Linked DNA regions of Callithrix jacchus. The protein of the gene in region 3 purifies or fractionates together with the protein of the main gene of each other region. This does not show direct contact. Links are inferred from orthologs where the notes say so. Each region holds a gene or a part of one and is shown on either strand. Other genes may lie near its edges. The genes, in order: CDC27, ANAPC2, ANAPC16 and ANAPC4.

What was found.
Region 1: the proteins of ANAPC16 (region 3) and CDC27 purify together in Homo sapiens (affinity purification with mass spectrometry; 10 studies listed by BioGRID and IntAct, with this or other methods). This does not show direct contact. The link is inferred for Callithrix jacchus from reciprocal best matches to the Homo sapiens genes ANAPC16 and CDC27.
Region 2: the proteins of ANAPC16 (region 3) and ANAPC2 purify together in Homo sapiens (co-immunoprecipitation; 5 studies listed by BioGRID and IntAct, with this or other methods). This does not show direct contact. The link is inferred for Callithrix jacchus from reciprocal best matches to the Homo sapiens genes ANAPC16 and ANAPC2.
Region 4: the proteins of ANAPC16 (region 3) and ANAPC4 purify together in Homo sapiens (co-immunoprecipitation; 10 studies listed by BioGRID and IntAct, with this or other methods). This does not show direct contact. The link is inferred for Callithrix jacchus from reciprocal best matches to the Homo sapiens genes ANAPC16 and ANAPC4.

Annotation. Positions count from the first base shown.
Region 1 is NC_133506.1:87,064,790-87,072,151, reverse strand, and holds the start of CDC27 (cell division cycle protein 27 homolog), read left to right. Parts: upstream 1-3,026; 5' UTR 3,027-3,149; coding exon 3,150-3,176; intron 3,177-3,677; exon of another isoform or gene 3,678-3,765; intron 3,766-7,362. UniProt on the Homo sapiens protein: Component of the anaphase promoting complex/cyclosome (APC/C), a cell cycle-regulated E3 ubiquitin ligase that controls progression through mitosis and the G1 phase of the cell cycle.
Region 2 is NC_133502.1:185,591,967-185,598,555, reverse strand, and holds part of ANAPC2 (anaphase-promoting complex subunit 2), read left to right. Parts: intron 1-642; coding exon 643-775; intron 776-1,829; coding exon 1,830-2,004; intron 2,005-2,405; coding exon 2,406-2,525; intron 2,526-3,004; coding exon 3,005-3,122; intron 3,123-4,099; coding exon 4,100-4,281; intron 4,282-5,029; coding exon 5,030-5,171; intron 5,172-5,413; coding exon 5,414-5,489; intron 5,490-5,553; coding exon 5,554-5,757; intron 5,758-6,589. UniProt on the Homo sapiens protein: Together with the RING-H2 protein ANAPC11, constitutes the catalytic component of the anaphase promoting complex/cyclosome (APC/C), a cell cycle-regulated E3 ubiquitin ligase that controls progression through mitosis and the G1 phase of the cell cycle.
Region 3 is NC_133513.1:57,947,243-57,954,484, reverse strand, and holds the start of ANAPC16 (anaphase-promoting complex subunit 16), read left to right. Parts: upstream 1-1,778; 5' UTR 1,779-1,878; exon of another isoform or gene 1,879-2,041; intron 2,042-2,065; exon of another isoform or gene 2,066-2,119; intron 2,120-4,956; exon of another isoform or gene 4,957-4,962; 5' UTR 4,963-5,086; intron 5,087-6,186; exon of another isoform or gene 6,187-6,309; intron 6,310-7,242. UniProt on the Homo sapiens protein: Component of the anaphase promoting complex/cyclosome (APC/C), a cell cycle-regulated E3 ubiquitin ligase that controls progression through mitosis and the G1 phase of the cell cycle.
Region 4 is NC_133504.1:168,462,004-168,469,351, reverse strand, and holds the start of ANAPC4 (anaphase-promoting complex subunit 4), read left to right. Parts: upstream 1-3,614; 5' UTR 3,615-3,726; intron 3,727-3,799; 5' UTR 3,800-3,809; coding exon 3,810-3,938; intron 3,939-6,739; coding exon 6,740-6,845; intron 6,846-7,348. UniProt on the Homo sapiens protein: Component of the anaphase promoting complex/cyclosome (APC/C), a cell cycle-regulated E3 ubiquitin ligase that controls progression through mitosis and the G1 phase of the cell cycle.

The DNA.
Region 1 (7,362 bases), on a different chromosome or scaffold from region 3:
AATTCTAAACCTATGAGCCAGAATGCCACGCATCAGAGACTCTTTAAATGCTGACTCTAGATCCATATTTTCACATACAAAGTATCATCTTTATGTATCTTCTGTGGTAAGTTCCTACATTTAGGTTTACAAAACTCAGCAGCACACATACAAGAATTGGGTTGGCAGCATGTTGTGTAAAAAACAGCTGAGTTTGTAAAATTATCACACAAGTTTAGCATGAGCAAATAGTGTCATGTGACTGCTAAAAATGTAAATACAACTGTACCACTTTAATAGACGTGTCCAGATAATAAAAACAATAGTCCAACTGCATTCTGAATTGATCAGAATAAATCTGGAGTACTGTGTTCAGTTAAAAGGGTCACATTTTTGGCCGGGCATGGTGGCTCACAGCCTGTAATCCCAGCATTTTGGGAGGCTGAGGTGGGCAGATCACAAGGTCAGCAGTTTGAGACCAGCCTGGCCAACATGGTGAAACCCCTACTTAAAAAAATACAAAAATTAGCTGGGCATGGAACCTGTAATCCCAGCTACTCAGGAGGCTGAGGCAGAATTGCTTGAACCCATGAGGTGGAGGTTGCAGTGAGCCTATATCAAACCATTGCACTACACCCTGGGCGACAGAGCAAGACTGTCTCAAGAAAAAAAAAAGAGGGAGGGTCACATTTTAAGAGTGATAGCTCTTACTCTTCCTTTCCATTCCCAATGTTAGATGCTCTCGTCTCACAGCTAGCATGGTACATTGTTTCCAAAGATGACCCAACAACCCCTCCCATGGCACATGCCTTGTGTGGTGTTACTTTGCCACTCTTCTTATTAAGAGGTGGACTCTCTTTCTCTTCCTGGTAAATTCAGGGTGACTCTGAGTCTTACTTTGACCAACAAGAAATAATGGTCACAGGTCTAGGCCTAAGGGGCCTCACAGCTTCTATTTTTGCCCACTTTGTTGTCAGCCACCAAGTGAAGAAGCTGGAGCTAGACTACTGGCTGATAAGAGGCCAATGTGAAGAGAAAGGTCATGTGGAGGAGAAATGAAGCACTCAGCCAGCAGCTAGCACTGACACCCTAGACATGTGAGTGAAGCCATCTTGGCTCTTCCAGCCCTAGCCAAGCCAATGCTGGTGATGTCCTGTATCTGTGTGATTGTCCAGTGTGGCAGTCACTAGCCACATACAGGGCTACTGAGTCCCTGGAATGTGGCTAGGGCATCTGAAGATTTCATTTTTAATTTCATTTTCTTTTAACTTAAATTTTAAATAGCTAGTGGCTACTATATAGGCCAGTATAAAAGTCTGTTACCACCCTAAGTCATCCAGCATGATCCTGCTAAAGCAACTGGGCACAGGGCAGTCAAAAATCACCTTAGCACCTGCCCTTTGAGGGACTATAAGTACATACACAGTGACAAGAGAAGGCGGTGGAGAAGGATGCAGTGTAGCTCTGTCAGCCCTGTTTTAACAACGTCATCTGCATAAAACGTGGGAACCATAAAGGGAAATTTCCAAGCAACAGAATGTATCATGAGTCCACTTCTAGCTTAGAGAACTCCTGACTAGTAAACTTTTAAACCTGTTTTCCTTATCTGCTGAAAAACAAAATTTCAACAGTTCCCTGGTTCACTTTTTTGGGGGGAGAGGAGGGACAGAAAGGTATGAGAGTCTACAGTGCGTGCTAGACAGAGCCACATTGGTGATACATCGAAGTCTCTTAATCCTTTTTTTTTTTTTTTCAAACTAAGCGAACAGAAGAATTTCAGAGAGGTTATAATTTGCCTAAGGACCTATGACTTGTCAGTGCTAAAACTAAAATTCAAAACCAGGCCTCTGAATTTCAGATCCCCTACTGTTTCTACCACAGCGGAATGCCTCTCCTATCAAAAACAAAAATTTCTGGCCGGGCGCGGTGGCTCACGCCTGTAATCCCAGCACTTTGGGAGGCCGAGGCAGGTGGATCACGAGGTCAAGAAATCGAGACCATCCTGGTCAACATGGTGAAACCCCGTCTACACTAAAAATACAAAAAATTAGCTGGGCATGGTGGCGCGTGCCTGTAATCCCAGCTACTCAGGAGGCTGAGGCAGGAGAATTGCGTGAACCCAGGAGGTGGAGGTTGCGGTGAGCCGAGATCGCGCCATTGCACTCCAGCCTGGGTAGCAAGAGCGAAACTCCATCTCAAAAAAAAAAAATTTTTTTTCTAACGGCTTATTGAGCGTTTCCATGATCTCTCCACCTAAGTACTTCCAATTAATGCCTTCTTAGCAGACTGATCTCATTTTTCTTCCCTCCACTTAATCCTATAGTTCCTTTTCCTCTAATTCTATCCATCCTTCAAACTCCAATTTAAACTTTTTTTCCCTTCCATAAAACTTTCCTCAGTTTAACACAATTTCCCTCTCTGAATTTGTGTATTACTTATAATAGGCACCACGTAACATAGCGTTCTCTGTTCCACTGCTTTTCCCTTAAATAGGCCTTACTCTCCTTGAAGACAAGCTATCCTTTATCTTTGGGGAGTGGCAATCTTTCCAAATTTCTTTAGATTTCCCCGAGCCGTGAGTAGATACTTTTGGAATGGACGAATAATCTAAACTCAATAGACAAATACTTGTTGATTTATTATAGTCAGCCCCAAACTCTGCTGTTTTACCCTTTACTATATTATAATCTACTGCACACCAATAAATCCAGGAGGGCCGAGTGGCGACTCCACACTGCAGCCCCGCCACGTAACGCTCCTCGCCAGTTCCGTCACGCCACGCCCAGCCTGCTGGTTGCTGCTTGGGCGTGGCCCAGCCCTAGGACGGCCGATTGGGCGTGGTATGCGTGGCTGAAGGCGTGGCCGAGAAGAGGAACTTACGCTCAGGGTCAGACTCGGTAGTTTCCGGTAATCCTCGACAATTTCCGGCAACGGTTTTTCCTCGTCGACCCACCTCGGGTATTTCCGACATACTTCGGGCCTTTCCGTCTCGTTTCCGCTCGGCTTTCTCCACTTCGGGTATTTCCGTGTCCCGCTCGGAGGCGCTCGGCAACGCTCGGCCTCCCCAATCCCCCGGTAACGGTCGCTGGTGAGTTTAAATGAGCCGGGGCTGGCCGGGCCGGAGCCGCTACCGGGGGGGCTTGAGGCACTGCAGAAAGTGATCCTCGAGGATGACGGTGCTGCAGGAACCCGTCCAGGTAATGATAACTCTCTTCTCTGAGGCCTGGCTCACAGCCTTGGTCGGGGAAGCAGCGTAGGGCCACTCCGCGGCCTGGTGCGGCCTAGGCCGGGCTGCTTCTCCCGCCTCTACTGCCTCCGAGTCCTGCCTATCTTTAGTTCGGAGGCCTTGCCCGCAACCTAAGCCATGTTACCTCGGGCCCTTCGTTACTTTCACCCTTAGTGTGAGCGGTTTCGTTGAGCATAACCGCCATTCCGGTCCAAGCCAACGTCCGGCCAGCCCTTCCTGTCAGTCCAGGGGCCTGGCTTGACCTGGGGTGGGAGATGAGGGTCCGAAAACGCACCGCGGACGCTCTCTTGCCTCAAAGATGATCGAGAAGCACATTTGATCAGAGCTTGTATGATGTTAGCGATGGTAGGGCAAGTTTGCGGGGGTTTTATTTTTGTTTTTGTCTTATGTGAGAGGGTGGAGGGGAGAGTAGGATCGGTCTTTTTAATACTAATTTCTATTTTGGTAACAGACTTCCTAGCCCACGTTGCCTTTCTCGGGGAATTTCCCACCGGACAATGATGATTTGAGAAGACAACTCCAAGCCTCAGTGCTGAGGTGCAAGCACCTATACCAGGGGAGCGGGTGGAAAGGGCACATCTGGGTTGTTTTCATCCTCGGTGAAGGGGATCAGGAGCATTTTGTTGTGCATGTTTATAAGGCATTCAGGAAATGAAAGACAAATAATGTTTTTTCTGTCCATTTCACCGCCCTTACACCAAGATATGCTTTGACGCACAGTGCCGTGTTACATTAACGAAACCCTATTGGATTTTAAGTATGTGATGCGGTGCCAAGTCATTCCCCCTCCCCGGGCCCCCCCACAGCTGGAGAAACTGAATCTTTTGTGCCTTGGGGATGGACCAGGTCTGGGAGACTTCATCCTACCATATGATGTTTGACTCGATCAGAATTGACCTATATCAACTGCTGTCATTGAGTCATGGACTTAATTTTGAAGTTACAAAGCAAACCAATTTTTATAAATTCCTTCATATTGCCCTTAAAAGGCTTGAGATATCAAATAGTAAATATTTTAACATACCACTACTTTCCTGTTTGTTTAATTTTTCTTCACAGCATGAAATACTCATTTCTTCTAGTTTGGCTTCTTCTCCAGCTGTTTACAGATAGCAGCTATTAGTGTTTGAATTCATAAAACCTAAGATTATACCTTATGAAATTTACCTGTCTGTAAGTTGTATCAGTTCTTCTAGAGCTATTTTCATCCAAATTCTTCTTAACAGTATAGCGTTTCTTTAAAAAATTTTTTTATTCTATGGCTATAGATAAGATAATTATATATACACAGTTTTTTTAGGCCTAGCATGAGCTTAAATAGATAAGCAGATTACTCAAGTTGTTTAATTTCTGTTGCATATCCTTGTAATTTTGTTTTAATAATTTTTTTTTTTTTGCTTTCTCTGGCTCCAGAAGTCTTCTGAAGTGATAAACTAGTTGCAGTGACAGTCTATAACCACCATTTAATAATAATTTCAGACGTTATAAAAGCATGGAAAAGAAAAGAAATATGTAGCCTATTTCTAGATAGTACCCATCAGGTTTCTTGTTTGTACTTAAAGTACTTTTGTTAGTAATTACACACTTGGGTATTTTTAAGGCTTAAAGGTCAGATTTGCCTGTTTTTCACAGTAGCATTGTTCACTAGATTTTTGAGATAGCGGTAGAAAGTTATAGGATATGACTAGGTGAGATTTTTGGTTGTATAGTATAAGAAGAAGCCATTCAAGAAGGGATGATTTGGAGCAGTGAGAAGAACTGGCAACTTTGACTACAATGATAAAGATCAATGATCAAGGATAGTGTTGCAGATGGGAAAGAATTAGTAAAGAAGAGAATAAAAATAGGACAGATATAAACATACTGTCTTAAAAAAAACTGTAACGACAGATTACATGCATTTGGAAAGCAATGAGAATGAGTTGGAAAATTGTTTTCTTTCTTGGAATGTCTCAGAGTTGATGGTATTACTAGGCATAGGAAAAAGTTGACAGAAAAGATGAACAACTATTTTTTGCATTTTTTTCTTTAAAGTTTTAACATAGAATGGCCAGCCTGATATACCATATATGCCTAAATTAAAATTCTGTCTCAAGTTACTACCTCTCAGAAGAGTATTACTTATATTTGAGTCCTTACAAAAATCTCACATATGAGGCAGAAGTTCTGTCAGATCTTTTATTTTTAATGGTAACTATTTGGAAAGACACACTAGCCTAAGTGACTTCAGTGAGAGCTTTTTGGGTATTTATAAAAGTCACCTGATGAAATTGGTATTTAAAAAAGAAGCAAAGAGATTTTATATAGATTTAGCAATTATTCCTAGGGGTAAGACTTCACAGAGATGTTGGATGAAGTTGTAAATAAGCTTTTTGAAAATTGGTTTCATAAGCAATATAGCAATTGGTACTACATACTTGATACTGCTTTAGAGATCATTAGATGGTGAAGGAGTACTTTTGGCTGGGGGTAAAATGTTGAGGGACAACATCTAACATGGATTCAAAGGGTATGGATCTTTGAATGAAAAATTTAGATTTAATGTACATTGGTAATGAATAACTATTAAATGAGCAGAAGAGTTTTTGAGCAGAGGAATTATGTAATAAAAGCACCACCCTGGGAATATTAATCTGGTGCTGTTGGAAAGGGAAGAAGAGACAAGAGTTAGACATACAGACAAGTAGAATAATCCAACTGCTTGATAATGTAGACCAGGGCTTCTTAATCTGGACACTGTTGACATTTGGCACAAGCTATTACTTTGTTGGAAGCTGAGCATCATAGACTGTTTTGTAGCATCCCTGGCTTCTGCCCACCAGATGACCCCAGCATTCGTCACAACCAAAAATACCCTCTAGACATTGCTAAATGTTGGGGACATTAGTTGGGATCAAGAAGGCAAAATTGCCTACAGTAAGAACCACTGATGTGCACTTAAACTAAATCAGTGTCCTAGAAGTTAGATTATAATGTATAATAAGAAATTTCAACTGTGATTTTTTTTTTCTTCATGTCTTTGTACATTGTGTGAAGCCTTTATTATCTATTTCTTTTCAAGTCTTTAAAAAAAGGCAGCCGACTGGGTACAGTGGCTCACACTTGCGATCCCAGCACTTTCAGAGGCTGAAGCAAGCAGATTGCTTGAGCCAAGGAATTCAAGACTAACATCAGCAAAACAGGGAGAACCTGTCTCTTTAAAAAAATAAAATTTAAAAAGGCAGCTTTTTTGACAAAAACAAGAACACAAAATGTATTAAAAATTTTAACAAAAACAAGTGCAAAATTTTTTATAATAAACTTTCTATAACAAAAAATGTATAGTGATTTTATGTAAGTCTGAGTATAACTTATAGAGGCTTGTTTATATTTAAAATAATATATTTAAGAATAGCTAGCTGGTAAGGAATTTTGCAACTTTAAGCTGTTGGTTTGTTTATCTTTTAAATTAGTGCAACTGGGGACTAACCCATTAATCAGTCGGATTTCTCTTAAACATTTTTTGACAGAGAGGGAGAAGGAGTGTTGTTCTTTTGGCTTCATAACTTTCTTTTAGCAGCACTTCATCCATCTGGCTTTAATTTGTAGAACTCTAGCGGTAATGTACTGGGTGTTGTTCTTTAGGGGAAGTCCTACGCCATCAGTTGGGCAGAGAAGCTGATTTTAGCTGTGTTGGTCATCAGCTACTACTTATCTGTAGTGCCTTAGATAATAATCTGTTCTCCCCCCAAACACCCCACAAGAGACACCATCAGTCAGGAACTTAGAGTGAGCAAAGTGGGATGGAAGCTGTATGTGGGATTCTCTACATGGCAGGTTTTTTCTGATGTTTTTAAGAATTGGTGATAAAGGAATGATGTTCTGAGCAAAGCTTGATTTTAAATCAGAAATGGATGGAACTCTTGAATATGATACCTTTTTTCCTTCTTTTTTTTCCCCAGCTCCTACCCCTCATTTCTTTAAAAAGACAGAAAAAATTTTCAAAATTCTAGGATTCTATGACTTTAGTATATAAGAGTGAAATTTTCCTAGTGGTCCATAGTATTAAATTTGCTTGTAAATCATTTGGGTCTTTTGTGGCTTATATGTTGCAAAATAAGCAGTTGTAGCAGGTATGCTGAGGAAATATATAACGG
Region 2 (6,589 bases), on a different chromosome or scaffold from region 3:
TTTTGTTGTTAGAGACAAGTCCTGTTGTAGCCCTGTAGCAATCGTCACACCCTCGGTGGCCATTTGGGGTGACTTTGTCACATTGAACAGAGGCGTAGCAGTGCAGCTCAGTGAGATTCCTCAGTGGACTAAGGAGTGTTCTGTTGCTGACAGGCATCAGGAAGAGTGTGAAGAGCTTCTCTTGGGCTCATCCCAGCAAACCTTTCTCATCCTCGTCTTGAGTCCTTTTGCTTCTTTAGACAAGAGGCCGCACTGAAAGGCACTAATTTGCTCAGATCTGTGTGCCGTGGCATCCATACTTCTGTGGCCAGGGTAGCATTGTAATTGGTGGTTGATCCTAAGAGATAAGGCTTGGGCCCCCAACAGCCACACCTGCTGCCACTTATCACATGGGGAAGGCCAGCTGGGCAGGGACAGCAGAGCCTGGGAGTGCTCCCAAGCTTCTTGAAGCCTTTGGCACAACCACCACCCCCAGCTGAGGACTGTGAGAGTGTATGTGTGCTACATGCATGCTATAGGCAGGGCTGTCCTGGCATGAGGCTGTTCTGGGCTAGAAGGGCCGGTGTGTGCCGTGGGTGCCCATGCCGGGGCTAGAGGGGCCGGTGTGTGCCGTGGGTGCCCATGGCCAGGGCTCTTCTCTAGACACAGGCTCAGTCTGCTGGAGCGGGTCAGTGCCGAGGCTGTGACCGCCACCCTGCACCAGGTGACCCGGGAGAGGATGGAGGACCGATGCCGAGGCGAGTACGAGCGCTCCTTCCTGCGAGAGTTCCACAAGGTGAGGACCCCTCCCTTGAGCTGGGCCCCTCTGGGGGTGCCAGACCTGACACCTGGCTTCAGAAACAGCCAGAGCATGGTGGGCCCAGCCCCAGGCAGTGCCTGGAGCTGCCTTGATGTGGGGTAGAGGCTGGTACTTCTGGTCCCTGGTGACAGTGAAGACACATCTGGGATGTGCTCATCAGGTCTGCACAGAATCCCACAGCCACAAGCAGTACCGGGCCAGGATCCCAAGGGGCTGCTCCAGGCAGGTGTGGCGAGGCCAGGCCTACCAGAGGGGCCAGTGAGTGACCCCTTCTCCTCGCTGCCCTTCTTGAGTGTGGACTTGCATGGCTGGTCCTTCATGGACTGGCCTACAGCCAGCCCGCACCACAGAGGGGAGCCAAACACCCTTGCACGGGGCCTCCAGGTACCTGTGCTGTTGGGGTGTGGTCCGGGGCTCTGCTCTGCACTTCCAGAGCCATGGGGGAGCTGGGCCCAGTCACGTGGGTACTCCCACCCTGGCCCCACTTGACACCTCTCCTCTCCCCAGTGCTGCGGGGTCCACCTACTGAGGTGCAGATTGGCCGAGATGTGGGGCTTTCAAAGAGGGCGGGTGGGCATCTCCACGGTGGTGGGGTAGAGTGGGCAGTACGGTGAAGAGGGTGAACCGTCTGTGTGTCTTGCCACTGGGTAGCCGCCTGTCGGCATGTGCACGCCTGGGCCCCTGTGGCGGAATTGCCGCTCGGGGTTTGTGTTCACTCAGATGCCCTTGTGATGTGCAGTGTCATCTGCATGGGGGTGGCCAGTCACCCGTCCAGTCCCAAGGGCGGGTTTATCTGTTTAAGTGGGGGCAAGTGTGCCTCCCAGGCCCAGCGCACGGGTCATGCATGTCCGTCACATCTCGCGCTAGGGCTGCTGTTGCCACTGATAAGTGTGGGCACTGGTGCGCGTGTGGGCACTGGGCTCTGGCTTCGCAGGAGGACCAAGACGGCCCCTTTGGGCTCCTCCCAGCCTCCGAGTCAGTGTGGGCTCACCACGCCTCCCTGCAGCTCACACTCGTGTTCTCCCGACAGTGGATCGAGCGGGTGGTTGGCTGGCTCGGCAAGGTGTTCCTGCAGGACAGCCCCTCCAGGCCCGCATCTCCCGAGGCGGGCAACACCCTGCGCCGCTGGCGCTGCCATGTGCAGAGGTTCTTCTACCGCATCTATGCCAGCCTGCGCATCGAGGAGCTCTTCAGCATCATCCGAGGTCCACCCACTCTCCCGTCTGGGGTACCCTCCCAGGGCCTTCGCTGTGTCCCTTCTCCTGTCCACGTCTGGGTTCCCTGCACCTTTGCCTGTCGCGCTTGCAGGGCTGGTACCCTTCCCTCTGCAGGCATCCCCGTGTCTGGATCCGGGCAGGTGCGGCAAACACTGGGTGGTGCTCCTAAGTGTCTACTCCTGTGGTCCCTCAGCCTTGGCTCCTGCTGGGGACTGGCCCCTGGCTGTCACTGTGTCCACCCTGTGGCATTCTGGTCAAATGCATCAGCACGCCAAAATGTTGGGGGGACGTCTGGGTCTAGTGGGTAGTCTCCTCGTCCCAGGGCTGGCGAGCCCCCCACATGTGCACGTGTCCGTGTCTGTCCCTGAGGCATGTCCCTCTACTTGTAGACTTCCCAGACTCCCGACCAGCCATCGAGGACCTCAAGTACTGCCTGGAGAGGACAGACCAGAGGCAGCAGCTGCTCGTGTCCCTCAAGGCCGCCCTGGAGACGCGGCTGCTGCATCCAGGTGCTGTGTGCTGGCTGCTGCTGCCCCACTGCTTGGCCCTCAGGGCTCAGACACTACCAGGGGGCTCCTGTCCAGGGAGCTGGGGACCCAGTCTCTAGCCCTGGACTTACAGGTCTAAGGAAGAAATGGGTTGAGAAGCTATTGGTGGGGTGCTTAGGGGATCTGGGGTACCCGTCAGCTTGCTTGTTTCTTTGAAGGGAGTTGGGACTGGCCAGGTGGTCTGGGGTGTTGAGACCTGGTTCTCTCAGAACACACTACCCAGCAGGGAGGGCCTGTGAGCAGGGAGAGGCTGGGACGGGGGTATGGGGGAATGGGGGGATGGGCAGACGAGGGGAGCAGCTTCTGCGGTCATATTGGTCTCCTGGGAAAGGAGGCTGCAGCAGGGATCTGTAGACAACCTGACCGGTGTGGCCAGCAGCCCACTCAGGCGTTGGCCCCTGGGAGGCACTGCATGACCACCGGCATCTCCCCGGCTGTAGGCGTCAACACGTGTGACATCATCACCCTCTACATCTCTGCCATCAAGGCGCTGCGCGTGCTGGATCCCTCCATGGTCATCCTGGAGGTGGCCTGTGAGCCCATCCGCCGCTACCTGAGGTGAGGGCTGCAGCTGGCCCAGGAGCCACGGGGACCCCAGGTGTCCTGCTGAGCTCCCGGTGGTCCTGGGGGCAGCGGAGGGTGTGCTTGGCCCTCAGGATACAAGGTCTCCCCCAGCTGGGCTGAGTGTACGGGCTCAGGCCCAGGGCTCCTTCCTTTACTCTTGCCTGTGCTGGGCACCTGTCCTTGTCACATGGTGTCACCGTCCCCTCTGTGTGCAGCTACCAGAGGCCCCCCTGCAGCCCTTCCGTGGCCTCCCCTTCTTCAGCACAGAGAGAAGCTCATCTGCTCAGCCTTGCCTTGGCGCTGACCAGGCCCCCACGCGCCAACCAGGCAAGGAGAATGGGCTCTCCTTGCCCATTCTCCTTGTCCGTCCCAGCCTTTTCCACGGCAAGGAGCAGGCACTCCCCGGGCTGTTCGGTGGAGAATGTGTTGGAATGAGGGCCTTGCCACAGCTGCCTGGAAATTCCTCGGGAGTCGAAGAGGCCCCGCGGCCCCAGGCCTGAGCAGCAGGAGCCACTGGGACTCCGGCGCCTGTCTGGACTTGTTCGCTGCTTTGTGGCTGTAATGGGCCTGGCTTCTGGGCTGGTTCTTTTTCTAAAGTTTTTCCTATTTTTGAGACAGGCTCTCACTGTGTCGGAGTGCAGTGGCAGAATCAACTCTGCAGCCTTGGGCACCTGCCTGGGCTCAAGCCGTCCTGCCTCAGTGTGCCACAGAGCTGGGCCTGTGGGCACACAGGCTAGCCTTGCCCTCACAGCTCCTGCTTCCCAGGACCTGTAGCGCCGAACCCGAACCTGTAGCGCCGGGTTCGTTCTTCAGGGAGTCTGACAGGCCTGTCTTTAGTGCACAGCTCGTCATCGGTGGCTGTAGAGGCAGGGGTGGTGGTGCTGGCCTAGACGGGGCGGGGCTGGCGTGGGCAGTGGGAGGGGCATGTGGGGTATCCATACCATGGGCCACAGCAGTGCTCATGCCGGCAGGACGCGGGAGGACACGGTGCGGCAGATCGTGGCCGGGCTGACGGGGGACTCGGACGGGACGGGGGACTTGGCCATTGAGCTGTCCAAGACTGACCCAGCAAGCCTGGAGACGGGCCAGGACAGTGAGGATGACTCGGGCGAGCCTGAGGACTGGGTCCCAGACCCCGTGGACGCTGATCCAGGTTAGCTTGCCCCACAGCATCCATTTCGCCAATGGATGGAGGCTTCGGCTAGGCCAGCCACTCTGGGCTCCTCTCTGGCCGCATAGCTTGGTTGTGTCACGTGTGGCCAGTGCCCCAGAGGCTTGAAGGGGTCCAAGGTCAGGGCAGTGCTCCACCCCCGCCGGCCTGGGCAGGCCCAGGGTGGGCTATGTCCCTCTGTGGCTGGTCACTCTAGCCATGGGAGGTGCCCTTCCTTCCGCCCCTTGTGAGCTGTGGGGTGTCCCCTGCCCCGCCATGACATCTGGCAGAGGAGTGAAGGAAAACGTGCATGGCCCCTGCACCCGCTGCTGGTGTGGGCCTCAGAGTCCCGTTAGGTGACAGCTACTGCTCAGGGCCCATCTGTCCCTGGCCGCAGTGTGCGGAGCTCTGAGAGTTGTGGGACCCCTGCCTGGCCCCAGCCCTGGCCCAGATGGTAAGTCTTCACTGTCTTTAGTCTTCCTCAGAGGAAAACCCCAGAACCTGTGGCTTGTACCCTAAGCCTACTTGAGGGTCCGGGGAGGTCCCTGTGAGACGGGAGGGGCTGGGGATCGAAGCTGCTGCCCTAGGATGCGACTCCTGGTCTCCTGGGAGGTGCCGGGCTGCTCCCAGCCTCGAGGGCCTTCAGGAAAAGCCATGCTGGGCTATGCCTCGGGCATGGTGGGATGGGAGGGGGGTGCCCTATCCTTGCCAAGGTGCCTATCAGGTGACACCCCTGCCCCCGCTGTGCCAGGGAAGTCCAGCTCCAAGCGGCGCTCCTCAGACATTATCAGCCTGCTGGTCAGCATCTACGGCAGCAAGGACCTGTTCATCAATGAGTACCGCTCGCTGCTGGCCGACCGCCTACTGCACCAGCTCAGCTTCAGCCCGGAGCGGTGAGGCCAGGGAGGCGCCAGCCGTCTCCAGGGGTGCTGGGGCCCTTGCTGAGCCTGTCAGGACAGGGCCTGGGCCTGGTTGGACTGTGTGCCACCCCCACTCCTGGCTGGGGCTGAGCTGGCCGCCGGGGTGCCACGCAGGCCCCCTGCTCTGCCCGGGAGGTGCACCCATGACTGCTACAGGTGCTGCTTGGGACTGCAGCCCCTGCGACCCCCGCCCAGACACTGGTTCGTCTCTCCAGGGAGATCCGCAACGTAGAACTGCTGAAGCTGCGCTTTGGCGAGGCCCCGATGCACTTCTGCGAGGTCATGCTGAAGGTGGGTCCCGCCTCGCCCACCGCCCGCCACCCCCAGGCCCCCGTGACACCAGCTCCTCCCTCAGGATATGGCGGACTCCCGCCGCATCAATGCCAACATCCGGGAGGAGGACGAGAAGCGGCCGGTGGAGGAGCAGCCGCCATTCGGGGTCTATGCTGTCATCCTGTCCAGTGAGTTCTGGCCGCCCTTCAAGGATGAGAAGCTGGAGGTCCCTGAGGACATCAGGGCAGCCCTGGAGGCTTACTGCAAGAAGTACGAGCAGCTCAAGGTACCTCCAAGCCAGCCACCCCACAGGGCTCTCTGCACCTCACCCTGTGCTGCGGGCTCAGCAGCCTGGTGCCTATGGCCACCCCATTGTCTCCCGAGTGTCTAGGGTTGGTTATGTCTCACAGCCATCCCTGCAGGAGATGGAGTGGGCCCAGTCCACACTCCCTCTGCCTTCCTCACAGTGAGCCTGTGCCCCCTGTGAGCCAGCGTCCCTCGGCCCCACAGGTGCTCGGGTGGGCTGTGCTAGGCCCACATCTCCTGTGCTGCTTCACGGGGACTCCCGTGGCTCCAGCAGGCCGCACCCACTGAGCATTTCCTCCTCTTCTGCCATCTGCCCTCTGCCTCTCAGAACCAGGACTTGGGGTGCCTTGTGTCACTGCAGGTGAGGGCCAGGGAGCCAGGGCCACCCTCTGCCCAGGGCAGCGCTCCCAAGCGCACCTGACCCTGGGGCCCCAGCCCTGCCCCTGTTTCTAGATATTTCCCGGAGAACTGCATTTGCAGGTTCCCATGGTGCTTGAGGACCAGGGCTGTGGGACTGTGGTGGGAGTCGGGGGGAAGCAGACGTGGGGACTGGAGGAGCGAGCCCTGGCCTGGAGGTGCTGGCAAGTGGGGCCAGCGTGCCCAGAGTGGTGGTATCGGCCGTATTTGGCTCACGTCTCCTGGCAGCACCACCAATCCCAGCAGTCCCAGAACAGGTATCCAGGGCCCTGGGTATGGGACCACGCTTGGAGGTTTTTTCCCTGAGCTCATGTTCAGGTGAGATGTTTTGGGTCGAGGGAAGAGGTTAGGACCCCTGTGCAGCCAGGTCCCAGGGCTTTCAGTCTGGTGTGTGG
Region 3 (7,242 bases):
AGAATAAAGGTCTCTTTATTACTTCAGCCTAGTGAGTAAAATGCAAACTTCAGTGATTATGTAACTATGTGCACACTATCTCACTTTTTTTTCCCCCAGGCGGTGTCTCATTCTTGTTGCCCAGGCTGGAGGGCAATGGCATGATCTCTGCTCTCTGCAACCTCTGGCTCCTGGGTTCAAGAGATTCTCCTGCCTCAGCCTTCCCAACTGGAATTACAGGTGCCCACCACCACACCCAGCTAATTTTTTGTATTTTTAGTAGAGACGGGGTTTCGCCATGTTGGCCAGGCTGGTCTTGAACTCCTGACCTCAGATGATCCACCTGCCTTGGCCCCCCCAAGTGCTGGGATTGCCCCCACAAAGTGCTGGGATTACAGGCGTGAGCCACCACATTGGGCACACTCGTATCTATCTAGCAAGACAGTTAAGACAATGAGGGATATTTAATAAATTTAACCACCCAGAAAAAAAAAAATACCCCTAAGTACTTTCAGAGATGCTAGACATTCATACCAATCAGCTGGTTACCTGTCAAAGCACAGTTAAAATAACAACTTAACCAATATGGTTCTCAGACCAACATATTGCTGATGGAAGGAATCCAATTTCTACAGGCCACTGCCCAACAAAATGCACATCACTCACTGAGAAACCAAGCTTCTGGTCACACCACTTAATTAATCAATAATTTAGGAAACAAAGGTTCTCACAGGCTAGCTGAGGTTAACTTGCACCAATATTCCTACCATGTACAGCTTGAAGCCCAAATAGTCTTGAAGCCCAAAATACTGAAGAGTTCCAAAGAAAACAAGTCGATCCTTAATAAAAACACTAATGTTCAGTCCAATCCTCAGCAAATAAGTCACTTTAATGGATGGTTTGGGTTGGGCGCGGTGGCTCACATCTGCAATCCCAGCACTTTGGGAGGCCGAGGAGGGCAGATCACCTGAGGTCAAGAGTTCGAGACCAGTCTTGCCAACATGGTGAAACCCCGTTGCTACTAAAAATACAAAAAGTAGCCGGGCGTGGTGGCGGGCGCCTATAACCCCAACTACTCGGAAGCCTGAGAGGTGGAAGTTGCAGTGAGCTGAGATCGCGCCACTCCACTCCAGCCTAGGCGACAGAGCAAGACTCCCTCTCCAAAAAAATAAAATAAAATGTTTAAAAATAGTAATAATTGATGGTTTGTGTGCTTACAGAACCAAGAAGAGGTTTCGTGAAAAATAACAAAGAAGGTAAACCGACAGGGATGAAGGAAAAGGGCACATAATTAGCAACAGTCGATGACATCATACCCCAATGGCCTATTCCCCGAGGCCTCTAAAATTCTCAACAAAAAAAAAACCTTCAAGGGGAAAGCTGAAAAAAAAAAGTTTCCCACAAAAACAGACTAAGGTGAAGGTCGGGACCTCAGGCCACAAGTTCCCGAAGAACCGGGGTCCGGGAGACAGCAAAAGTAGCATCTACCTGCCCTGCATGGCCCTGCGCTACGAGACTGCTCAGAAGGAAAGAGGGGAATAACCAACTTAACCCTGCTTCGAGGTGGTTTGGAGAAGAAGAGGAAAGCTGTGTCTTTCTGCAATACCGTGAGGGAAGCCGAGGCCCCGAATCATCAAAGAGAAGAAGAGTGCTAGAGGACTGCAGGCAAACCAAGACAGGGCGAGAAGGCGAAGGAGCCGGAAGTCCTCTCCTGGAGCGCGTTCCCTACTCCCCTACTCGCGTCTCAGCCCTGGCCACGCCCACCACGCACGGACGCGCGCACGCCGCCGGCTCCCATTGTGAGGGCGCGAGCACGCCGTCGTCCTGGTCGTGGTATGCGCAGCAGCTCCGGCGGACCCTGGGGGTGGGGCTGTAGGGGAAAGTGCTAAAGCCGCTGAGGTAAGAAGCCGAGGGCTCAAGGGCCCTTGGGAGCTTGGTGAAAAGGGAGTTAACCCCTAGGATCCTACCTGCAGGGACTAGGAAAATGGAGAAGGTAGGTGGAGAAACAGGAGACTGCTGTAGAAGACGTGCGAAAGGAAATTTCCCCAGGCCGGGTTGGACTGACTGCGCATGCGGGCCGAGGGGTGGAGACTGCGCAGTGGGACAGCGCCGATGGCGTCGTTTCCTGGAACCCAGCTGGGTGGGTAGCGTGGCTAGGAGTCTGCTTGGGAGCCGCTAGTGTTCTGACGGCTCCCTCTCCAGCCCCTTTCTCTCCACGTCCCACCCCGCAGTTCCAGCTGCGGCTTCTATTTGGTTTGGGTTGTAATCCAGCTATTCTTAAGTGGAAAAATTTGTTGATGGAATTTAATGATTTCTTGTAATTTGTACTAGGGTAGGAACTTTTAAGGAATTACTTTTTAAGAAAATAGGCATATATCTGTTAGAAAGGAAAGGAATTTATGAATGCGAGTACATGAAGTAAATGTTTAAGCATCTTAGCTCGGACACAGCAATCTGTGTCCAGAAAGCATCATTACTCTCCTGTGAGGATCTCCACTGCCAGCCCCAACCTCCCTGACAGGGCCAAGTCCCAGGATACTTAATCATCAGTATTTACTCAACAAAATTTTACTAAGCACCTCCGGTGAGCCCGGCCAACTAGTCGAAGATAGAGTTGTGCGAATACATCTGCACAATGAGAAAAAAAAACTTAATGGACCAGTACTCATGACACCGCACTTCTCTTACCTCCTGCTTGACCTTTGCTGAGCTGCATGCCCTGCGTTCTGTCATTTGTTCATCATTCATTCATCTGAAATGCCCGGGACTGGAAGCACAGTGGAAACACTGTGACCCAGGTTCTGTGCTCGGCATTGAGGGTAGAAAGACTTTTCGAAGGTAGCAGTATGTTTCTTAAGATCGTGAACCTTAAAATGAAAGTGTAAAGTGCCTAGTAGAGGGCATTGGCCTTCCTCCTGAACAGATTCTTTCCCCTCTGGGAGCTTGCTGACTGTTTTAGATAGAGAGAATTAAAACTTTTTCCATGAAGTTTTTTCATAGTAAGCATGAAAAACTGGGATCTGCATAGGAAAAACTCGGGAGTAACTCTCCGTTAATTATTTTGAATAGCTAAGATTTATGAAGTGTTTAATAAGCCTATAACTGTTCCAAGCGTTTTACATGTATTAACTTATCTTGTCACATCTGTGTGAGGTAGCTGCCGCTATTACAGGTTGAGTATCCCTAATCCAGAAATCCAAAATGCTCCAAAATTTAAAACTTCTTGAGTGAGGGGATGGTCAAAGGAAATGCTAATTGGAGCATTTTGAATTTCAGATTTTCGAATTTGGGAGGCTTAATCATTAAGTATAATGCAAATATCCCAAAACCTGAAAGAAATCCAAAATACTTCCAGTTCCAAGCATTTCAACCTGTTTCCCATTTTGCAGATAAGACAACCAAGGAACAAAAATATTAAATATGCTGGAGGTTGCAGTTTTTTGAATTTCTGCCATCAGACCTTGGCGATGATCTTGAGCAGTCGGATATAAATTACTCCCACATGGTTAGCGTTCCAGTAATGGAACACTAGGCATAAATGGGTTAAATTATTTGTCCACAGTCATGCCGCAAGTAAGTAGTGAAACCAGAACTCAGGCAGAGAGGCTTCATAATCTTACCCGCTATGCTGCTTTACCTTGCACATGACAAATGACATGCCAACAAGCCATTGCTTCAAAATGTCACAGCAGATAAGCTAAAATTGTCTCTATACCTCAGTTTTATTTTTTCATGTATAAAATGAGGAAGTTGGATTAGATGACCTTTAAGGAATCTGTGGTTTCTGTGAAACATTTAATTCATTCAGCAAGCATTTACTGAAATGAACAGCTACTTCCCCACTATAGGCCAGGTGTTATGTTTGGTTCTGGTGATTACTTAGTGCCTGCCTTGAGAGCAGTTACAATCTCTAGGGTGTATTAGTTTTGCTTTACTCTCATTTACCACTCGCTGGTAGCATTCAAAATTTAACCTACATCTTTAGAGCTAGAAAATACTTTGATATATCCTTCCACCTCAGCAGAAAACTACTTACAGTTAGCTTTGTGCTAATTCTGTGCTCCAGTTTTTAATCCTGGCTGTTTTGTGTATGGAATGATAGTAGTTCTGAGAGTTGGAAAGAAAACAAGATGAAAGGGAATTCCTTTGATTATATTCAGCTTAGAAGTCACACTGTGGCTAACTTTTGAAGCTGTCCTCACTCTGGCAGTTGCTTGGGTGCTCTGCTGAGCAACTGACTTCAAAATATAAAGTATAAAGCATTTGCAACTGAATAGAGCATTTATCAGGGTGTAGGAAAAATAGAGTTTTAAATCTTAGGTGAGATATATAAAGAGTTCACAGTGGGTTCCACTCTGAACTGATGAGAAATAAAGACTGAGCTACTCTCCAAAAGGTGGCTAAGTTATCTGTATGCTTTATTTGAATCCCACCAGGAATTCACATGAAGATTTGGACCTGATCCATCACTGCTTAAGTTCAAAAACAGTTGAAAAACTTGTCAGGCTATATTTTGACCCACTGCAGTCCAGAAGATTGGATATGAATCTGACTCCAAAAATTGTTGCCTCTGTGGATATGAATACAATTTGGAAAGTTAGCAGAGCTCAGAGAATAAAGGAAATGTAATCTAATAACAAGATTGAAAATGTCTGCTGAGCAGAGTGGCTCAGGCCTGTAATCCCAGCATTTTAGGGAGGCTGAGGCAGAGGATCTCTTGAGCCCAGGAATTGGAGACCAGCCTGAAGAATGTAGTGAAACTTCATTTCTACAAAAAATAAAATTAATGGGGTGTGATGGCACACACCTGTAGTCCCAGCTATTTGGGAGGCTGAAGAAAGAGGATAATTTGCACTCAGGAGGTCAAGGCTACAGTTAGCCAAGATCATGCCACTGCATTCCAGCCTGGGAAATAGAGCAAGACTCTGTCTTCGAAAAAAGAAAACATCATTAATCAATTTGCTTTTTTTTTTTGAGACACAGAGTCTTGCTCTGTCACCAGGCACTAGGCTGGAGTGCAATGGCACGGTCTCAGCTCACTGCAACCTCCACCTCCCAGGTTCAAGCAATCCTCCTGCCTCAGCCTCCTGAGTAGCTGGGACTACAGGTATGTGCCACCACACCCAGCTAATTTTTGTATTTTTAGTAGAGACAAGGTTTCACCACGTTGGCCAGGATGGTCTCCATCTCTTGACCTCGTGATCCGCCCTCCTCGGCCTCCCAAAGTGCTGGGATTACAGGCGTGAGCCACTGCGCCTGGCTTCAATTTGCATTTTTGCTGACAGTCTAGTTATAGTAGTTGCTTTACTGTTCCCATATCCCACTTCACTATTAATCAGTGTTACTTGTAATGAAATCAGAAACCAAGCTCTGCTTCTCTAACAGCTTTAAATCATCATCACAAAATTAAGCAAACAAAACAGCCAATGTTTCAAGACATACTATATCATTTTCATTACTAGAAAACTGGATTTTATATATATATATATATATATATATATATATATATATATATATTTGTATTTTATTCCCTCACTCTTTTCTGTTATCAAAAAACATGACCAGGTGCAGTGGCTCATGCCTGTAATCCCAGCACTTCGGGAGGCTGAGGTGGACAGATCACCTGAGGTTGGGAGTTCAAGACCAGCCTGGCCAACATGGGGAAACCCCGTCTCTACTAAAAATACAAAATTCGCCAGACATGGTGGCGCATGCCTGTAATCCCAGCTACTCGGGAGACTGAGGCAGGAGAATCACTTGAACCCAGAAGGCAGAAGTTAAATGAGCTAACATGGCACCATTTCGCTCCAGCCTGGGCAACAAAAGTGAAACTCCGTCTCAAAAAAAAAAAAAGAAAAGAAAAGTTTCAGACAGGCATGGTAGCTCACACCTATAATCCCGATACCTTGGGTGGCCAAGATGGGAGGATTGCTTGAGCCCAAGAGTTCCCGACAAGCCTGGGGACAACATGGTAAGAAGTTGTCTCCACCAAAAGTAAAAAAAAAAAAAAAAATAATTAACTGGGCATAGTGGCATGCCCCTGTGGTCCCAGCTACTTGGGAGGTTGAGAGGTTGGAATATTGCTTGAGCCTAGGAGGTTGAGACTGCAATGAGCAATGATCAGGCCACTGGACTTCAGCCTGGGTGAGAGAGTGAGAACCTCCCTAGAAAAAATAAATATATTTCAACTTTTTTTTTTTCTTTGAGATGGAGTTTCACTGTTGTTACCCAGACTGGAGTGCAATGGCACGATCTCGGCTCACCGCAACCTCCGCCTCCTGGGTTCAAGCAGTTCTCCTGCCTCAGCTTCCCAAGTAGCTGGGACTACAGGTGCGCACCACCATGCCCAACTAATGTTTGTATTTTTAGTAGAGACGGGGTTTCACCTTGTTGACCAGGATGGTCTCGATCTCTTGACCTCGTGATCTACCTGCCTCAGCCTCCCAAAGTGCTGGGATTATAGGCATGAGCCACTGTGCCCAGCCTCAACTTTTTATAATAAATATGTTCATGTCCAACTAACAAAAAAAGCGCTAATGAAAAGTATTCAGGCTGGTCTGGGTGCAGTGTTGTTACACTAACTGATCACAACCCGCTACAGATATCTTTGTTCCTTTTTCACTCCCACTGCTTCACTTGACTAGCAAAAAAAAAAAAAAACTCAGCTAAAATTCTCTCTGACCATTTCAGAGGGATATTCATTTTACAGTCCCCGTTTTTGGCACAATCTCAGCTCACTGCAACCTCCACCTCCCAGGTTCAAGTGATTCTTCTGCCTTAGCCTTCCTAGTAGCTGTGATTACAGTTGTCTGCCACCACACCCAGGTAATTTTTGTATTTTTAGTAGAGATGGGGTTTCTCAATGTTGGCCAGGCTGGTCTCTAACTCCTGATCTCAGATAATCCGCCCATCCCAGCTTCCCAAAATGCTGGGATTACAGGCCTAAACCACCATGCCCGGCCTACAATCCTTTTTGAAATAGTTTTTTTAAGTAGGCTAAAATTTGCATAACATAAAATTAACTATTAGCCATCTTAAAGTATACAATTCAATATAAAGTTATTTTTAATATAAATACTAGAACTTTATCCATTACAGCAGCCAGTAGCCACATGTGGTAACTTAAATTTTAGTTAACATTAAATAAAATTTAAAATACAGAAATACACTTCTTCAGCCACACCAGCTTATAGGTGCGACATGAAGCTAGTGGCTACCATGTTGTGCAGTGCAGAAATAGAACACTGGAATCTTTCCATCATG
Region 4 (7,348 bases), on a different chromosome or scaffold from region 3:
AATACTGGGTGCTGTAAGCTTTATTTAAAAAACTAAAAAAGAAAAAGAAAAGGTTGGAAACACTGTGTTAATATTTCTTATCTACAGCTACTGTGGATCATTTCCAGGAATGATCCCTGTCTCCACTGCCTACCAACACACATGAGGGGGGCTACAGCAAGCTTGTCTAACCCGTAGCCTGCAGCCCAGAACGGCTTTGAATGCAGCTCATCACAAATTAGTAAACTTTCTTAAAACATTTTGAAATTTTTGTGTGTGTGTGTGTTTTTTTTTTTTTTAGCTCATCAGCTGTCATTAATGTTAGGGTATTTTATGTGTGGCCCAAGACAGTTCTTCTAATGTGGGAAGCCAAAAGATTGGACACCCCTGGTCTATAGCAGCATATAACTCTGCTGTTTCCTGCCCACACCTGGAACTCCACACCTGCGCTGTTTCCTTTGCTGTAAGGCTTAGGAAATTCATATTCTGTGAAGACTTCATGTGCAGGTGGTTATACTCTGTCCTTTGTAGTACAGTGTTTATGCCTCTGGGAACAGCCATTTTCACAAGTTGTGTGGGCATTTGTATTCAGGTAAGTTCCAGGAAAATGGACATTCAATTTCCATAAGAATGTAAAGTGCATAGATACTGGACACCCACCAGCTGATCCGTTATAACTGCCCCAAAACAACACCTGAAAATGCATTTTGAAAAACAAAGGCAAGTGCGTTTTCACCTTAGAAATGTTGATTCTGGAAGAGTTGGGGGGACATGCTAAGTTGTTTGTGGCAAAGGCAAGGGTTGCAAAGCCCCTGAGAGGAAGTCAAGGATTAAGAACAGTGCCTGGCACAAATTAGTTACTTGACACTGAATGAATTAATCTCCCTCCATCATCTACTTCCCAGGGGCTAGATCCAGTCAGAGGTCAAGAAGAGGGGGCTTGTTAGAAGTTAAAGGTCCTGCAGTGTAGGGCTGAGGGCCCCACAGGGTCGTGGTGTGTCCCTTATGCTGTGCTGAGGTGCAGGATCCAACAAACAAAGAGACAGGACACAGAAGTACAAGGAAAATGGAGCTGGGCTCAGGGGGGCCCTAATGTCCAGAAGTGTCAGTATTTATTGTGTATAGGTTAGGAGGCAGGGCAGTGAGTGAAGTCATCTTCAAAGATAGTGATAGGATTGTGAGCAATAAAACAAGGGGTCCATCCTCATTAGGTCACCTAGGCTATGAGGTGGACAGTGTGCAGCAAGATGTCCACCCCCATTAGATCACTGAGGCATGGAGGTGGGCTGTGCGCAGTGAAGAGGGTGCAGTGTGCACTACCTCTACCTACGGGCAAGCTACTTCTAAGATTTGTGGGAGGATGCTTTAAGTCACACAGCAGTGACAGAGCTGTCAGGGTTACCGCCACCTGTTGGCAGCTTCCAATGAGTTCTATAGGAAGACGCTTTTTGGGCAGCACAGTAACAAGAGCTAATAAAGTTCACAGTCACCAAGGTACAATTATCCGTAGGGGTTTTGAGCCCTTGAATGGATGCTAGAGGGATTGCCGGTCTGAGGGCAGCCTTCCACAAGAAGACGCGAGGTCCTACAACTCCTTTATCAGGAGGAGTGGCTCTTGCCCCAAGCCTGCCATACAGTGGGTATCTTAATGATACTGAACACTGCCCCCTGGGCCATGGATTCTTGTCCTGGTATAACTGTTTTTCCCTTAAATCATGCTCGGCACTGTCTGCTCCAGACATTCCTCTGACTATAAGCTGCTTATTCCTTAATTCATGCTCTGTACCGTGTCTACTCCAGGCATTCCTCCAATTATGAACTAAGATATAGTTATATATATATATATAAATGAGTGGTGAGATATTCTTTAGGCACTCATTCTATGAACAAATATATGATTATATAGAGAGAATTATATAAAGAAATAACTGAGTAGTAACACTATAAACTGAGATATTCTTCAGATCTTAATTGTGCCAGGATTTTGCTTAGTTCTCCTTCCTTGGTGCCTATGTGGGGGGTTATCCACACTGAGGCCTCTTTCTCCATTGAACAAGTGAAAGGTAGTGAAAAGTAGATGGCTTTCTACCATAGGTCTGTGGGAAGTAGAAAAGTTCCCTTTTAAAGTTTCCTTGCTTATTAAAGAGTAAGTGTGCTAATAACTCTTTGTTAAGCCCTATCCTATGTAGTTGTTAGACATGCCATGCTTATAGGCAGGTAGTATATTCTATGTTCTTGTATTTCAACCAAGATATCTGTGCTGAACCAGGCATATCCCAGCTCTCCATTGCTTTTACCTATTTAGAAAAGTTTTAAGTTGTTACCCAATCGGGTTTTAATTTAGATTGTGAGGTCTGGCTCCAGCTAATGAAGATCAGACACAGCAGTAAGGATGACCCCAAATGCATAAGGGATAAATTTGTGTGTTTTCCTTTGTTCATTGTATTCTTGTGGCATGAGCTTCCTGCAGACCAGGAAGTAAAAATTGCATTGCTGAAAAATCCTTTGTCTCAGTGCTAAGTTTTCTTTGCAGCACCGAACATCTATTTCCAACAGATTTTAAGAACCCTAGAATGACACTGTCACATTCTCTCAGGGAGGTCATAGCTGTGGGAACTGTGAACATGCTGACTCATTTAAATGTGTCCTACATAAATCAACATCAGATGAGTTCTGATTTACAAGACTGCCAGGCAGGCCTGTGAGCCTTCTGGCAAAACCCGTCCCATGCATTTGTGTAGCCCCAGTTCTTCCACATAGTAAATGCCCAAGAAGCTACAGAAGAAATCGTGTGTGAGCCCACAGTCCTCATTCCTTATGATGGGGCTGCAATTACCAATAAGTTGTGAGCGTTAAATGGGATGAGGAGTCACAGTATTATTTGCTTGTTAGGGAGGTTTGAGGGCAGGCCCCTCTTCCCTCTTCAAATTGGAATCACCCAAAGAGTTTTAGTAAATACTGGGCCCATCCAGAGTTAATTCTCTTTTAATTGGTTTGGGGTGCTGCTTGGACAGGTGAACTTTTAAAATTCTATACTGAGCCACCAGGACTGACATGAGAACTATTTGTTTGGAGTCTGTCAGAGGAGGCTCCAGCTGATCAGAACCTTAAAGTTCATATTCTTTTTCATTTCCCCATTGTCGCTGAAGCCTTCCCCCTACACCCCTACCGTCCCTTCGAACACAGCAGCGAATTTTTGGTAAAACTGGAAAGTTATGCAAGCGTGCCTACACGCGTGCACACATGCGTTACCAAAAAATCCGCGTGCAGCTTTCCACGTCCCAGCGCCCAGCGCTCCCACCTGCAGCTGGGTCCACTGCTCTGCTTCTCCCTCTCTGCTCCACTCGGGGCGCCGTGCCCCACCCACGTGCCCCACCCTCCCTCACGTCCCGCCCCTCGCCATTCCCTTCCCCGCCCACGTGCCCCACCCTCCCCCTCGCTCCGCCCCTCGCTGCTCCGTGTCCCTCCCAGGGGCACCATTCTACCCCCACCTCGCTCCTCCCCTCGCTGCTCCCTTGCCCCGCCCACGCGCCTTGTCTCGGTCCGCCCGGTCTGGATCTCAGCCTCGCCAGGCCCTTTGCCCGGCCCGCCCCGCCTTCTCCTCTCGCGAGGCACTCCCGGGGCCGGAAGTGCTTGGAGCGCGCGACAGCGGCAGGGCGGGGCGGTCTGGAGGCTGCGGCGCGCCGCCGGCAGAGGGAGGCGAGAGGCCGCTGGGGCCGTGTTGGTCGCCGGTGGGGACTCTTGCAGGTACCGCCCTGGTCGGGGCTTCTCGCGGAGGGCCAGGAGCTCCTGCCGGCCTCTGACTGGGGTGTCGTTGCAGGGCCGTCCCCATGTTGCGTTTTCCGACCTGTTTCCCGTCCTTCCGGGTGGTGGGAGAGAAGCAGCTCCCGCAGGAGATTATTTTCCTGGTCTGGTCTCCCAAGCGGGATCTCATTGCTTTGGCCAACACAGCGGGCGAGGTAAGTGAGCCGGTGGAACCCGCCTGGGCTGGGTCTGCCCGCTGGGGGCCCAAAAACACCGAGCCTGTTCATTCGGGCCACAGGCGGCCGGAGCCTCAGTTTCCCCTTCTGCAGACGCGGCGGGCCACCTGCTACCCCTTCCCTGCCTCCCAGGACGGCAGTAAACTTTAAGTAATATATGCGAAAGGTGGTGTCTTTGCCATTTTCAGTACTTTTATGGCTAACGTAACAGTTTTCACACAGCTTAACACCGTCAGGCAATTCTGCATCCCCAAGTCTTCTTCACTCATCGCTTTATTAGTTAAATGAACTTTTTAAAAAGCCCACGATGTGCCACCCATTAGCTAGACATAGTGGTAAATTCAGGGCCTGCCCTAAGTTTACTTACAGTTTTAATAGCAGAAGGAAGTAATTCTCGAACTTTAGCTGCAAGACTGTATGCATGTAGCTGACCCAGAATATATATTTAAGAATCTGTAGTCTCTTGTCCACGTTTTATACTACGGGTTGGATGCTAACTTCCACTAAAAACCTTTAAATTGGACAAGGAAGAGATGCATCATTGGATTCCAGACAGAACGTGCATGGGTTTTGTCAGCATTTCTAGTTCACATTAAACTTCATCGAGTTTGTTGTACCAACACCTGTTGTACCCAACTTTCTGCTGAGAATTATTACTTGCCAGCCATTTTGTAAGGAAACCTTCACCTGTGCATCTTTCGGCCTCTGGCTTGAGCATTATCTGGCCAGGTGAGAGTTGTGTAGAGTTAAGTTTGGAAACTAAGTGGTAAGGAAATCTTAGCACCCTGTGGACTACAGCATCATGTTATCTACCATGACCCAGTAGCCAGGGTATTGATGTCTAATTTTTCAGGGCCCTCCATGAAATCTAGTCTCCCTCCTCTGCCGGGATGCTTTGAAACTCTGTCGTGGCTCTAGAGAACAACAGGTGGTACAGCCACAGGAGCAGGAGGAAAGGTAGAAAGGAGGTACATCTGTGCGATCAGAAGGGTAGGCATGATAGTGGGCACTGTTACATCCATTTCTCAGTGAAGGAAGAGGCAAGGGAATTTTCTGTGGGTGAAGATGGAGAAGAAAATATTGCAAGCTTGAGGAGAAAGAAGAGGTCTGAAAAAGCTAACAAGGCAGGTGGACTTGGGAAACCTAAATAGGATTCAGTCAGTGTTAAGAGCACCACAAGATCAGTGTTCTTATTTGAGAGACACTGGTTGAATGAGGTTGTGTCTCCGTTCTGTTTGGCTGTGTGGGTGCAGGTACAGTTGGGTTTAACCAGGATTGTTGTTTAGCAAGAGAAAGATGAAAGAGTTGAAGTTATGTGCAAGGGTAGTGATTTTGTTGATGAACTTTGGGTTCTAACGTGGTTAAGGAGGTAAGTGAGGGCAGGTGTAGGGAGAGGAACAGTGACTAGGGGGTAGAATCAATAGACTGTATATTCTGGTGAGGTCAAAGAATTGGAGTTGAGTGTTGCAGAGATGAGCTGAAAGAGGGGTGGTGGATGGAAGGTGGGAAGGAAATTTGAAATGGAGATTTTGGTGGCCCTGCAGTTGTTGGTAATGACCAGGCTAGGGGTGTGACCCTGGGAGTGGCTAAGTGCAGTAGAAGATGTGATCACTGGAGGTGAGGTAGTTGACAGCTGAAAAGCCAGGACATATAGCTCTTGAAATCACCAAAAATGAGGATGAGTGTGCTGTTAGAAAGCATGAGCGAGCCAGGTGTGCAAATCTTCAAGGAATGAGGGGAATGGCCTAGGGGTCTGTAGAGGACTGCAATCAAGGGGAGAGTGGGTGGTATGGTCTGACTGCATGTGATTCAAAGTTAGGAGGTTTTCAAGAAGAGAAGAAATGGCATTGAGCATCAAGGAAGACACCTGCTTCATCTCCTAGCCCAAGAGGAGCAGTACAGGGTCCGTGGGATACAAAATGGTCACCACCTAGGAAGGCTGCAGGGAAGCCATGTCCTCTGGTGAGAGGCACATTTCCGATAAAAGTATGAAGATTTTAATTTCATGATGCCATCTGACCATGAGCTGCAGAAAGCACAGAGGAAGGGTTTCAGAAGTAAGGAATGGCAGGAATGGTTTCAGAAAAGAGAGGGTCAAGTTGGAGAGATGATGTTACCATGAGTGAAGGGTGCTGTGAGGTAAGGCAGGGCATGGTGGTAAAGCTGAGTGTGGAGTCGATGGAGATCGAGAGGGGTCTTCTAGGAGCACGTGCAGTTGTGAGGCCTTTTCTTCCTTACTGTCAATGGTTGTATAGAAGCTGCAACAGGATCAGTCTTAGAGCTCTTGGGCAACATTTTGACCTTCCAAGGTGGGAATTTACTGTTGTGGAAATGGAGATTTAGAATGGTTAAGTGATTTGTCTAAGATCCATGGCTAGTGTGTGACACAACTGAAATCAGATGCCACGTGGTCTAATTCCAAGCTTAGTATTATTTGAGTATATTACAGCTAGTTACCTTTTTAGTGATGTTTGTGTTCTTTTATTTCTTTTTTGGTTGTCATCTTGGACAGCCTTCCTTCTAAAAGGTAAGTCTCCCGTTGACATAAAAGATGGGAAGATGTATTAGGTACTGGGTGAAATTAGACCTTGTTTCACCCATTTATTTTAAAATACCTTGTGTTCTTGCAGACACTGTTGTCTTTTTCTGTTTTTCTGATAGCTAACTATACTTGAGAGATAGTAATTTTAAAAAAGGTTTTAGTAGGGATCGAGGTGTATTTTATTTTTGGAAATTGATTTTTTTTTTTATTTCCTGCCGTTATATCTGCTTTGTCTTAGGTGTTACTTCATCGACTTGCAAGTTTTCATCGAGTTTGGAGTTTTCCACCAAATGAAAATACAGGAAAGGAAGTGACCTGTCTGGCATGGAGACCAGATGGCAAACGTAATGATAATATTACAAAAATATGTTTTTATTTTCACAAAAAGTATTCTGTAAAGAAAGTCCATTTTCAGGAAGAATTTATTGTTCTTAGTATACATTTTAATTATAAATACCAGTTAGGGGCCTTTTTTTTTTAAAAACATGCCTTAAAATATTTTTATAGAACTCAGATTAATTCTGCTATCTTGTTTCTTGGCAAAGATAACTCTGAGGTGAAATCTGATGGAATGTACAAAATATTTTGGTTTTGTTCTTTCCGCTGTCATCTTGGCCTGTGTTTGGCCCAGGCAGCACCTGCCACTCTCCAGTCAGGCAGTTCAAGGCCATCATGGCCTTTCTCTTTCACAATGGATTTTAGCACGAAATGTGTGGCTCATATTCCCTTGGTGCATATATGTTTGCCTCCCCAGGGGGACTATGAGCTTTGACTCCATACCTTCCATTTCTATGTGATCTTTCTTCTGGTCCCATCCTATGTTATAGGCTTTTATGGCTCTGGTGAC